Rattus norvegicus: one gene and its partner. The protein of the gene in region 2 interacts with the protein of the main gene of each other region in a pairwise test. Links are inferred from orthologs where the notes say so. Each region holds a gene or a part of one and is shown on either strand. Other genes may lie near its edges.

Evidence for each region. The genes of interacting proteins can lie anywhere in the genome.
Region 1: the proteins of Prpf31 (region 2) and Bicd2 interact in binary tests that used the Homo sapiens proteins (3 or more experiments, as listed by UniProt). The link is inferred for Rattus norvegicus from reciprocal best matches to the Homo sapiens genes PRPF31 and BICD2.

Annotation. Positions count from the first base shown.
Region 1 is NC_086035.1:15,482,915-15,488,762, reverse strand, and holds part of Bicd2 (protein bicaudal D homolog 2), read left to right. Parts: intron 1-3,437; coding exon 3,438-3,650; intron 3,651-5,848. UniProt on the Homo sapiens protein: Acts as an adapter protein linking the dynein motor complex to various cargos and converts dynein from a non-processive to a highly processive motor in the presence of dynactin.
Region 2 is NC_086019.1:74,491,568-74,497,415, reverse strand, and holds part of Prpf31 (U4/U6 small nuclear ribonucleoprotein Prp31), read left to right. Parts: intron 1-541; coding exon 542-699; intron 700-1,033; coding exon 1,034-1,123; intron 1,124-3,241; coding exon 3,242-3,369; intron 3,370-3,455; coding exon 3,456-3,528; intron 3,529-4,043; coding exon 4,044-4,172; intron 4,173-4,257; coding exon 4,258-4,356; intron 4,357-5,222; coding exon 5,223-5,348; 3' UTR 5,349-5,848. UniProt on the Homo sapiens protein: Involved in pre-mRNA splicing as component of the spliceosome. Required for the assembly of the U4/U5/U6 tri-snRNP complex, one of the building blocks of the spliceosome.

The DNA.
Region 1 (5,848 bases), on a different chromosome or scaffold from region 2:
TACATTTAGGTGGTTTTTAAATCGTCATCTGTGTATTTGCATGTGCACATGTTACAGCATGTTAGAGGACAGCTTTGTAGAATTGACTCTTACTCCACCTAAGGGACTCTGAGGACTGAACTCAGGTTAATAGACATGAATGGCAAATGGTTTTTACCTGTAGAGCAATTTCTCAGGCCCTATATCTTAAAATAATAGAGAGCTGGGATTACAGTGGCCTTATTCTTACATGACAGCACTGTAACCACCGAGCCTCCCTTATGGTTGTTTTCTGCCAAGATGGGACCTTCTCCATTGTTCTGGTTGGTCTCAGGCCCTGCTCAGTGTTCATTGTTGACTACTGTGCTCAACTCTAAAGTCCTCTGTGTGTGTGTGTGTGTGTGTGTGTGTGTGTGTGTGTGTGTGTGTGTCTCTGTCTGTCTCTGTCTGTCCATCGTCTATGTGTTATGTGAGTTACTTGCATGTGTGCTGTTGGTTCAAAGGTTATCTTTCCCATAAAGCTTTAGTCCGGCCTCTAAGCAGTGAAGTGCCTCTGGGTCGTGGTAGCAGGTGGGGTGGTCCTGCTCTTTCAAGGTCATTTAGTCTGTCTGAGTCCTTTAAATTGTTCTATGACCTTTAGAATGAACTGGTCATTTTCTATGAAAAGTTGCTGGAACTTTGGCAATGTGATGAGGTGATGTATTGGCTCCTTGAAATTGGTACACACTCCATGTTTGCTCTCTCTGGTTTATTAGGCTTTGACTTATTTTATTTTTTCATTTGGGCCCTCATTTTGGCTGCCTTTCAGGGTTGGTTAATCCTTTGTGATGCAGTGTGCCTGCTGTTGGCCCTGCTTTCCTCTACAGAAGTGCTACTGGGATCTTTTGTGTCCTCCGTTTGCTCTGTGCTCCTGATTGAGGGTTCTAGTCCCCGAGTCTCAGCCCTCTGCTCAGGGCTGTGTGCTGTCTGCTGAGGAACAGTTCTTTCTTGGGTCTTCCCCATGAAGCTTACCTGTGGCAGCTGGACGGACGGGCTTGTTTTCCTGAGCGTGGTCTGAGCGTGTTGTAGGGTGTAATGGCTAGGACATGGATTAGTCCTTCATGTCTGTCTTTACACTCTGCTCTGATGCACCACAGCAGCGTGTAATTCAGGCTGATTCTCCAGACATGATCTCTGAGCCTGTGAGTCGGGGTCCACCTTGGTGGTGGGACAAGCTTGTTTTCAGACTTGTGTCAGGGCTTGAACTTTCCCACGGCCTCCTTAACCCTTCGCTGACTCATCTGGTCCTTAGTTCTGGCTGCCCTTGCTGCCCTGTCTGTGGTCTTCTTCCACAGGCCCTGCCATCTGCCTCAGTCCTGTTGTATGCCATGCCCTGAAGTTCCTCTGAAGGCATGAAGGCTGTTGGGGGACTCCCCTCATCCTGTCATTTTCCCCGGTACATATTTGAAACTATTTGTGAATGTGTGTGCCTGGCATGCATACGCTGTGGTGCACACTGGACGTCACAGGACAGGTGTATAGTAAGGAGGGTAAGGCATGACGGCAGAGGCTCTTGCCTCACCATCCTGTTCCATCATCTTGCTCCTGTACTTTCCAGATTGTAGTTTCTCACACAGGAAGTAGTGTCTGTCCCTGTGACTATCTTCTCAGTTGGAGGTAGATGTCTCCATCACAGTACGTTTGAAAAGCTGCTGGGGCTGCTCCTGTGCCCCAGGCTGGTAGCTTGGGTGGAGGAAGTCAGGGCCCAGGTTGGCAGGCCTAGGCTTGAATATTGTGTCATAGTGCTTAGCCATCACACTTTGGGAAAACTTCTGAGTTGTCCTTGTCCCAACTCCTAAGTTGACGGGTGTGTCTCAAGGAGCCACAGGTGCTGGACTCTTCAGTACAGTTCCCAGAGCCCTAGGTTGGGGCCAGCTTGGGACTTGATTTCCTTTGTGTCTCATAGTGGTGGACAGGCAGCGTGGGCCAGCTGCTGTGCAGGTTCAAGTTGTGGCTTGATCCTTCCATAGGATCGGGGTAAAGGCAAACAGACCAGAAGTCACAAAAGCTGAGCTGCTGTGATTTGGGCAGAGTAGATGGAGTGTTGGGGACTGAAAGCAAATGAGCAGACCCGGCCACCTCGCAGGTGACTTGGATATCCACAGTCTGCTGCAGCAGTGTTGCACTGTGAGCCCCAGGTCACCCCTCCACACACGCTCCAGTGCCAGCCCTGGAGCTCCTGGACTGTGTTGTCCTCTGGCCTGTTGTGAGGCCTTCCTGTAGTCTCTTGGGACACAGCATATTGCCTCAGATCAGGCCCTACTCCATTCTGCCAGTTCCCTGACAGAATAAAAAGGAATTGCTTTCTGAATTTTCATGTGTTAGTATTAGAAACTTCTCAGCTCTGTGACATCCCTGTACAATGTGGCTTTGTATGTTTTGCTCATTGTTTTCTTGGTCTGAAATCCTAGATTTGTGAAGTAATAAGTGAAAAAAATTCTGTTTTACTTTTAAAAATAGTAAAAGCCATCATTTTCTTGTTCTTCAGGAGCTCTTCTCTTATATTTGTCACGAGCCACGGGTCCTACAAAGAGTCAGGGAAGGAAGGCCCAGGAGGTGGGGCAGCCCTCAGAGGTCATGTGATGGGGGCCAGGCTCCCAGGGGCTCAGGGTCTAGACACAGCATAGCTGCTGCCCATGCTGGGACTGCCATGCTGTGGTGGGCGAGGCCAGCACTTCTTGCTAGCTGCTGTACTTGATAGGTTTTCTTCCCGCATCCCAGGGCCTGACACACTCGCTCCTCGCCTATGTATGAAACACGCAGGTATGTGCATCTCACACACCCTTAGGTGACCAGGTTAGCTAATTGCTACTGTGCCCTGCCCTTAGGGATGGGGGCCCGGGTGCCCAGCCCCCGTCTGTCCCAGAACAAATGATGATTTGACCTCAGGTAGCAGGATGGGCCAGCTGCTCACCTTTGGGTGTGCTCTGGGGTTGGTCCCTGCTAGCTTGTCTAGGCTCAAAGTATAGACCAGCCATTTCCTTGTCCTGGTTACTTTCCAGCTGGGACGCACCCTCGGGCCTCAAACTTAGTTCTTTATGGAGTCCCATGTGTGTTTGCAGCCTTACATCTTTCATGCTCCTTCCTGTCCCACCACATGGTGCCCCCGAGACTAGTATAGTTTCACTGTAATGAAGCGTGCCTGGCACGTGCATCGCAGTGTGTGTTTTAACACATGCACAACATAGAAGTGCTTTCCAGGGGCTGGGGATTTAGCTCAGTGGTAGAGCGCTTGCCTAGGAAGCGCAAGGCCCTGGGTTCGGTCCCCAGCTCCGAAAAAAAGAACCAAAAAAAAAAAAAAAAAAAAAAAAGAAGTGCTTCCCAGGTCAAGGGCCTTCGCGTTCCTTGTGGTCTTGGGTCTCCATTGCTTTGCAGCCCCAGGACACCCATCTCATAAAATGTCTTGTTTCTCCACGCAGGCATTTGGCCAGGCACACACAAACCACAAGAAGGTGGCTGCTGATGGAGAGAGCCGGGAGGAGAGCCTGATCCAGGAGTCCGCCTCTAAGGAGCAGTACTATGTGCGGAAGGTGCTGGAGCTGCAGACAGAGCTGAAACAGCTGCGCAATGTCCTTATCAACACTCAGTCTGAGAATGAGCGCCTCACGTCTGTGGCCCAGGAGCTGAAAGAGGTAAGTGGATGGGGCAACGTCTCTCACTGAAGCAGGCTCACTGAGGCTGCATCTTGCTCCTGTGGTCTCTCAGTTAACACACAAACAGTTCTGTGCCTGAACTGTGCCCTCCTCAGTGGTGTCATGAGCCCTCTGGCAGGCCCTGACTAGCATGATGATCGGCCCCTCATGGGGTTAGACCTAGTGTCCACAGGATGCTTTGTCATTGGTTGACTTTTGTTTGAAGAATGGTTTTTGGTTTTTTGTCTGTTTGGTTTTTGTCACACAGGGCTTGGCTGTGCATGAGTGAGTGGTAGGCCACACCATGTGCAAGGAGGAATGTCAAGGTCTAGTAGTGCAGTCTGAATAATGAGTGGCCCAACTTGTGATTTGGTAGTCACAGACAGAGATCAGCCAAAAGCCATGGAGACACTGTGGAACTTTGAGGAAAGAGGTTGAGGACCCATTACTAGAAGTCTCCACGTGCTAGATTCCTGGCTGAGGTCTGCCTACCTGTCCATGGTATTGGGAGTTAGGCTCAGGATCCTTCAGGCTTGGGATAACACTGACTTTAGCCCTCATTGCTCTAGAGGCTTAGACAAAGCCTTGTCTCCAGTCTCTGAAACCCTTTGTAGGAGACACTGTGCTCCTTCACTACACATCTTCCAAGCTCTCCCTGCCCATTTCTAGCTGTGGAAGCCTACCCTCTGCAGCATATGTTCTGACAGAAGTCAGCAGGATGCAGGCATGAGGGTGTGCTGTCGTCAGGGCCCTGGAGGCAGCTGTGTCCCAAGCAGGAAGTCACAGGGGAGGGAAAATGGGAGAGGCTGTTAGGAGGAAGGTGGTAGGAAAGGTCGTAAGGAATCCCCACATACCTGCGAGACCAAATCCAACCCAGAGGGGCCAGTGTTGGGCAATTAGGGGACAGTCATGCTAGGCCAGGAGACAACAGCAAAGGACAAAACAGATCTAAGAACAGTGTCAACGGTGGTGAGAGCAGACCTCTCCCTAGACAGGTGTGTAGGTGGTGAGGGCTGGCGGGCTGCCTGTGGCTGGGCTGCAGAGAGGGGGACACTTAAAAGCAAAGGCAGCTAAGGGTGTGTAGGGAGACTCAGGATTTCCTTCTAAAGCATAAACAGGAACAACAGGGATCTCTCCTCCACCCCAGACCTGCTGTCTTCAATCCACTGACTTCATTTCCGGCCCTGAACGGCCATCCAGCCTAGGTTGCCTAGGGGCTGAATGTGGGAGACAGTCGTGCACTGGCCTTTCAGGAAGGAGGGGTAGACAGATGGATTGTCAGTGGGGCTGTTTCTCTTCCTCAGTGACAGCCCCTCCTCCACCCTCACCAGAGCCACACTGTGGGAGGAAATGAGATCATGCACTGGGCTCCAGGAGTGGAAGCTGCCTTTCCCCACCCCCATTCAGACTGAGCTCAAGACCTCAAGGACCCCACACGAGGGGAAGTGACTACTCCCTGCTGTTGATGGCACTTGGGTCAGAGTTCTTGGGCCAACCATGTAGAGGCTTGACTCCAGCACACCCTTGTGGCCTGTGCTTTGCCGGACTGATGGCTAAAGCCAGGGTCAACTTTACAGCACCAGGCAACTTACCTGTGTCAGATAGTTCTGATGTCTAGACCCTTTCATTCTAATGGCCCTCTCCGGGTTTGGTCACATGGGGAAACTGAGGCTTACATTGTGGTGGAATAATTCTAGGTCCTGATTGTGATCTCTGTGCTGAGTGAAGAACCAGTAGTAGATAACTCAGTCAGTTTTCGTCTTATTGGCATTATTCCTGGTAGGTAGATGGGCATTTGAGGAATGTCTTGTTGCAGACAGGACACTGTTTCTCAGATGAATTACTGGAGTCCCACTGGTCCCAGTAGAGGACAAGAGTGCTCCCCTACGTGATTAATGGATAAGTGTCCTGTGTGGGAAGGATTGGGAGCTCAAGAGACCAAGAAAAGGATTGACAGTCCCCTAACACAGTGGCCTCCTGAGACAGGTGGTTGTCACACCCTTCGTGCTGGCGAACAGCTTGAAGTCAGGGGTCCAGGTGAAGGAAAGCAGGTGGCTAGGACCTCAGGTGGTGGCTCTGAGTCCATATGCCCACTGCTTATATCTGGGCTGGTCATCTGCACAGAGCAGAGCCTGTACCCTGCACCCTGGGAGGAGATGCTTTTCTGAGAGAAAACTAAACCCCTGTGGCTAGTTGGA
Region 2 (5,848 bases):
AAAATCCCCCTCCCCACCAGAAAAGATCCCATGTCCTGCTGGATACAGTGACTTATACTAGTAACTGTTATTTGGAAGGCTGAGGCAGGAGGGTTGCTTTGAATTTGAGGCCAGCCTTGGCTACTGAGTGAAATACTTGATATCAAACCAGCCAACAAATGAAGGTGCAAAGTTGTCTTAGTCACTGTTCTCTTGCTGTGAAGACACAGCTGGGGGCTTACTTACACTTTTAGAATCTTAAGCCGTTATTATCATGGCAGGGAGCACAGCAGCAGGCAGGCATAGTGCTGGAGATATAGATGAACCACAAGCAGAGAGAGAGAGACATTGGACCTGGCGTGGACTTTTGAAACCTCAAAGCCCACCCCCAGTGACACACTTGTTTCAACAAGGCCATGCCTTCTGAACCTTCTAATCTATCAATGAGTTTTACTTTGTGGTGACTGTATGAGCCTATGAGGGACATTCTTACTTAATCCACAAAGGTATACATGAGTTCCTGGATGTAAACCCTGTGTTCTGACCTCACCTCTTTTTGCAGGTGTGGCTGGAGGGCTGACCAACCTGTCTAAGATGCCTGCCTGCAACATCATGCTGTTGGGAGCCCAGCGCAAGACACTGTCTGGCTTCTCTTCTACCTCAGTGCTGCCTCACACTGGCTACATCTACCACAGTGACATTGTGCAGTCTCTGCCCCCAGTGAGTACTTCACCTTGACCCCTAGCCCCAGCCACTAGGCCTTATCTGGCTTGGCTGGCAATAGCCCTCAGGCTCCTGGAGGATGAGGCAACATGGTTGGAAGAGCAAGGATACTATTCTGGGTCTGCCACTTGGCAATGAGGATGGTTGGGTGGCTGGAAACCAGGGGCAGCTAGAGCATACCCCTCAAGAGGCAGTTATTAGGAAAGCGCACAGGCATAAGGCCTACCTCCCAGAGTCTGGGGTATGGCTGGCCCTAGATGAGAAGTGATTATTGTAGTGGCTGTTACCTTTGCTAGAGGTTCAGTTTCCTTTCCCCTTCCCATTGCTCTAGGATCTTCGGCGGAAGGCAGCCCGCCTAGTGGCTGCCAAATGTACACTGGCAGCTCGTGTGGACAGTTTCCATGAGAGCACAGAGGGGAAGGTGAGGAGAAGATCTTTTCCTTGTGCTTGGGGTCTTTTCATAGGAAGATGCTACTTCAGAGAGCTGTCCAGACTAGCAGACGGCAGTGTGTGTCTCAACCCCAACTAAGGTCATCACATTCTCAGCTCTGTCTATCAGTTATAGAACAGCTATGACAACTCACTGTAGATGGAGTAACTACATATAAAAGTTTGGTAGACCTGCTAGCTCATATCTTTAACATCAGTACTTGGGAGGCAGAGGCAGAAAGGTCACTAGTTTTCGGCAGTCTGGGTTATATAATAAATTTCAGGCTAGACTGGGCTGCATAGTAAGATCTTGTCTTTGAAAAAGGAAAAAGCACAGAGCCAGAGATGTGACTCCATAACTTAAGTTCCTGCATGCAAGCGTTGAAGACTTGTTCAATTCCTAGTACTCCTGTTAAAAAACAAACAGGCCCAATAGTACATACCACTAACTAACCCCATTGTTGGGAAGATGGAAGAGGGAGGACATTTGGAGCTTGTAGGCCTCTCAACCAAATCAGTAAGCTCCAGATTCAGTGAAGAGACCCTGTCTCAAGAAATAAGGTAAGGAGGTAGTGTAGAAGCCATGTGATACCAAATCTTTGGTGTTTTGTGGGTGCACGCATGTGCACGTACACAGTTTCACTGGACTAACATTAGGTGTTAGACGGGCAGTTCCCATTTGTAGGCTCCTGGGAAGAAACACTCCTGCCCCTGTCTGTATCAGAGTTTACTAGGCAAGGCAGCACCTTCAGCCCCTGACTGCTCGTTTTGGGCCCTTTGTTGAGCTCATACTGTCAATACAAGGTACTGTCACATCTCAGTCCTTAATCACATCTGCAAAGATCCTCTGCCATGTGAACTGTAGCCACGAATTCTAGAGACCAGGATACCTGACACCAAGGTGGAGCCCTGTGTTTGAGGGAACAGTGTTTTGCCCACTACAGTAGGACCTGTCCTGTGCTAGCAGGGGCATGATTCCAGTGATACCTTCTGTTTTTCTGGGTAGGCTTAAGAAATAGTGTTGTGTGCATTTCCCTACTAGAAATTACATTATAGCCCAAGTCAGGGGTTTAGTCTCTTTTGCCTTTTACCACTTTCTAAACAAGGCAGCATACAGCAGGGGATTACATAGGTGTCAGAGGTCTGCCTCCATGGCTCTTGTATATGTCTGTGGTGGGCATACTGGGATTGAACCTAGGACTCTACACGTACTATACAACTGATCTACCACTGAGCTGCATCCTCAGCTCACCCTCACCCTCACCCTTTTCAAGACAGGTCTCATCTCTAGTCCAGGAAAGCTTTGAAGGATTTTTGATCCTCCTGCCCCAGCTTCCCTGGTAGCTAGGAATGGAGGTCAGTGGTTACACAGCATTTATGTTCTAGTTGGGACCAAAACAAGGCAGTAGTCCTGAAAAGAACCTGTAGTGGGTTCAGTAGTGCTGTGTGAATACCAGGGACAATAAGGGGAATTGTGGGGTGAGGAAGCTTAGATTTTGACTGACTTAGGATGTGAAGAAGAGCTTTGAGGAAATTTTAGTATGGGCCTGTGTGAAGTTACAGTCAGTTCTGTGGATACTTGTGCTATCTACTTGGAAGAGTGTTCCAGACAGCGGGAATAGTGAGTGCAAAGAACCTGAGGCCAGAGTTTGGTGAAACCCAGCAGGGAGAGGAACTTGCTGTACCCAGGAGCAGATATGTACAACCTCTGGAGGCCTCTGGCTGCTGTGGAGGTACTGGAAAGCAAGCTAGCTGGGACCTGCTCTAAGAGGCCAGGGGATCAGTAGTGTGGTAGTAAGACAGTGGAGATGACATTCTGTCTGTTGACTAGGGATATGGGGATTCTGCCTGGCCCATTTATGTTTGAAGAACTCAGGCAGAGGAAATTTTCCAGAGGGTGCAGAGCTTAGATGTGAAGGCTAAGCTACAAGTTCAAGAGCAGTAGACACTGGAACCCACAGGATACCATTCCTGGAGAAAGGGAGAACATGTCTTTGGGAGGGTACACCATCAGGTGGTCAGATATACAGTAAATGGGTTGATGATACGTAGATGTGCAGCTGAGGGGACAGTCTACATTGCTGGCCACAGCTTCTCAACTCCCTGCTAGGTGGGCTATGAACTAAAGGACGAGATTGAGCGCAAGTTTGACAAGTGGCAGGAGCCACCACCTGTGAAGCAGGTGAAGCCCCTGCCTGCACCCCTTGATGGGCAGCGGAAGAAGCGAGGGGGCCGAAGGTAAGGAGTTTGATGTTTGGAGTTGGGAAAGGGAAACTTCTTCCCAGCCAACTGCCTATATCCTGTTGATACCCACCTTACCCTAGGTACCGCAAGATGAAAGAACGGCTAGGACTGACTGAGATCCGGAAGCAGGCCAACCGCATGAGCTTTGGAGAGGTCAGGTTCCATCCATAGCACCAATAGGACCTTGTAGGATCTTCTCTTTGCACATCCTGCTGCTATCCCTCCTCTCTACCCTGTAATCCAACAGCAGATCTAGGGCTACCCTAGCCTCCTCCATCCTGACTGGCCTCTCCTCTCAAACCACCTCCATGGTGATCTTTGCAGCTTCCCAGGCTGCATCTATATCTATCATCTAGGTGGTCCTGAAAGAATAAATGTAGGTGCTACCTTAGTAGTGCAGCTCATCCCAATTCTTGGCAACCTAATCTGAATGTAGAGAAAAAAATGACTACTCTACTCAGGTCAGGAACTAGTTCTTCCCAGGGTTCCTAGCTATACCCAAGCAGAGTTAGGGTAGGCTCTTAAAAGATTATTTAGTGCAGCCTGGCTAATGAGGTGATGCCCATGAGACTGGCTGATTGGAGAATCTGTGGGTTCTCAGTGGACTGCCCCAGGGTACGGCTGAATATACCTAGCTTCTTAACAGCAGGTTACTCCTATCTCACCAGATTGAGGAGGATGCCTATCAAGAAGACCTGGGCTTTAGCCTGGGCCACTTGGGCAAGTCAGGCAGTGGGCGTGTGCGGCAGACACAGGTGAATGAGGCCACCAAGGCTAGGATCTCCAAGACACTACAGGTATGATCTGGGCCCATGAGAATGGGAGGCAAATGGGACATGGAGGTCAGTAAGCTTGAATCACAGCCTCTTCTTTCCCTTACAGCGGACCTTACAGAAACAGAGTGTGGTGTATGGTGGGAAGTCAACAATTCGTGACCGCTCCTCGGGGACTGCCTCTAGTGTGGCCTTCACTCCACTCCAGGTACCGTACCCTTTTCTACCAGGCATGTGATAAGGCTGCTGTGGAGGCCTGTTGAGCTAGCACATGAGCTTAGGCATCCATAGCCGCACAGTAAGTGCCCAACAGTTGACCGTGACAGTTGTGACAAGCTCAGACCAACTTTGGAACCAGGCCTAGGACTCTGCCTGTGTGATCCAGATACTCTCTGAGCTTCCCAGTCTTTGCTTTAAGATAGCCCTGTAGTCAAGGTCATCAGGGTGGGCTTGAGTATCATACTAGTAGCACTGAGCAGTGTGAAGCAGAATGGCCTCAGGTTACTTACCAGAGAGATAGGCAAGTGTGTCCCATAATGTCACAAGGAACTAAAGAGCTCCCAGCTTGCCAGAACTGCCTACTGAGCAGCTGCCTACAAAGAGACAAGCTTTGCTTTGTGGGGAGAGGGGTGTTGTGGGTTGGAGAGTACATATGATTGAGTCTAATACACAATGTATTTGAAGGCATGGGTGTCAGGGAAAAGCAGGAGTGAAAGGTGATGGGGCCAGGGAAAGCCCAGAAACAATCAAGATAGTGCTGGCATTGTCACCACTGTGATGGTATGGGATTTGCAGGAAACTGGCTGGCTACGTCCCTCTGGGATTCAGTTTCCTTATCTAGAACCAGGCAGGAGTGGTGATTTTAGCATCACACAAGGTTAACAGTTCTGATATCCAGGACCTACCCCTACATCCACTGGGTCAAAACTCTCCCAAATTGAGGGAGTCTTTACTGACTATAAATGGTTCCTTGTCCACAAGAGTGTCTGGGAGACTCTGCATGTCTGGTTTTCATTCTAGAGGGAGGTTTGAGCTTCCCTACTTTACCTGTCACCCTCTTCCTTTCCAACCCAGGGTCTGGAGATTGTGAACCCACAAGCAGCCGAGAAGAAGGTGGCAGAGGCCAATCAGAAGTATTTCTCTAGCATGGCCGAGTTCCTCAAGGTCAAGGGTGAGAAAAGTGGCACCATGTCTACTTGAAGGGGCCCACAGCCCAGGTGGCCATCCACTGAAAGGACATAAAGGACTGGAGCTTCTGAAGTGACAGATATCCAGCCAGGAAGTTTGGTGTGGTGGAGGCAGCCTTCCATGCTCTGTCCTTGGCCCAAGGCCACAGCATCCAAGAAAAGGATGAAGAACCTTAGCCTGTCTCCCCCAGCACTCATGCTGCTGCTGTTCCAATCGGGCAGGAAGGTCTTCCACACACTCAGCTTTTTTACTTACAGGGGAAAAAGGAAGTGCTTTTTTTTTTTTTTTTTTTTTTTTTTTTTTAGACTGAATACAATTAAATGCATAGTGTCTAGCTCTGAACAGAGGGTATGATTTGTTTATGAAAGAACCAGAGGACTCAGAGCTGTGGGGCTTCCAGAGTGAGTAGCATGGACCCAGCTCTCTTTTGCTCTTGTCCTGGAATCTAAGAAAAACCCTGTCTATCTCTTAACACCACACTTAATGAGAACATCAGCATCATGGCCAAACAG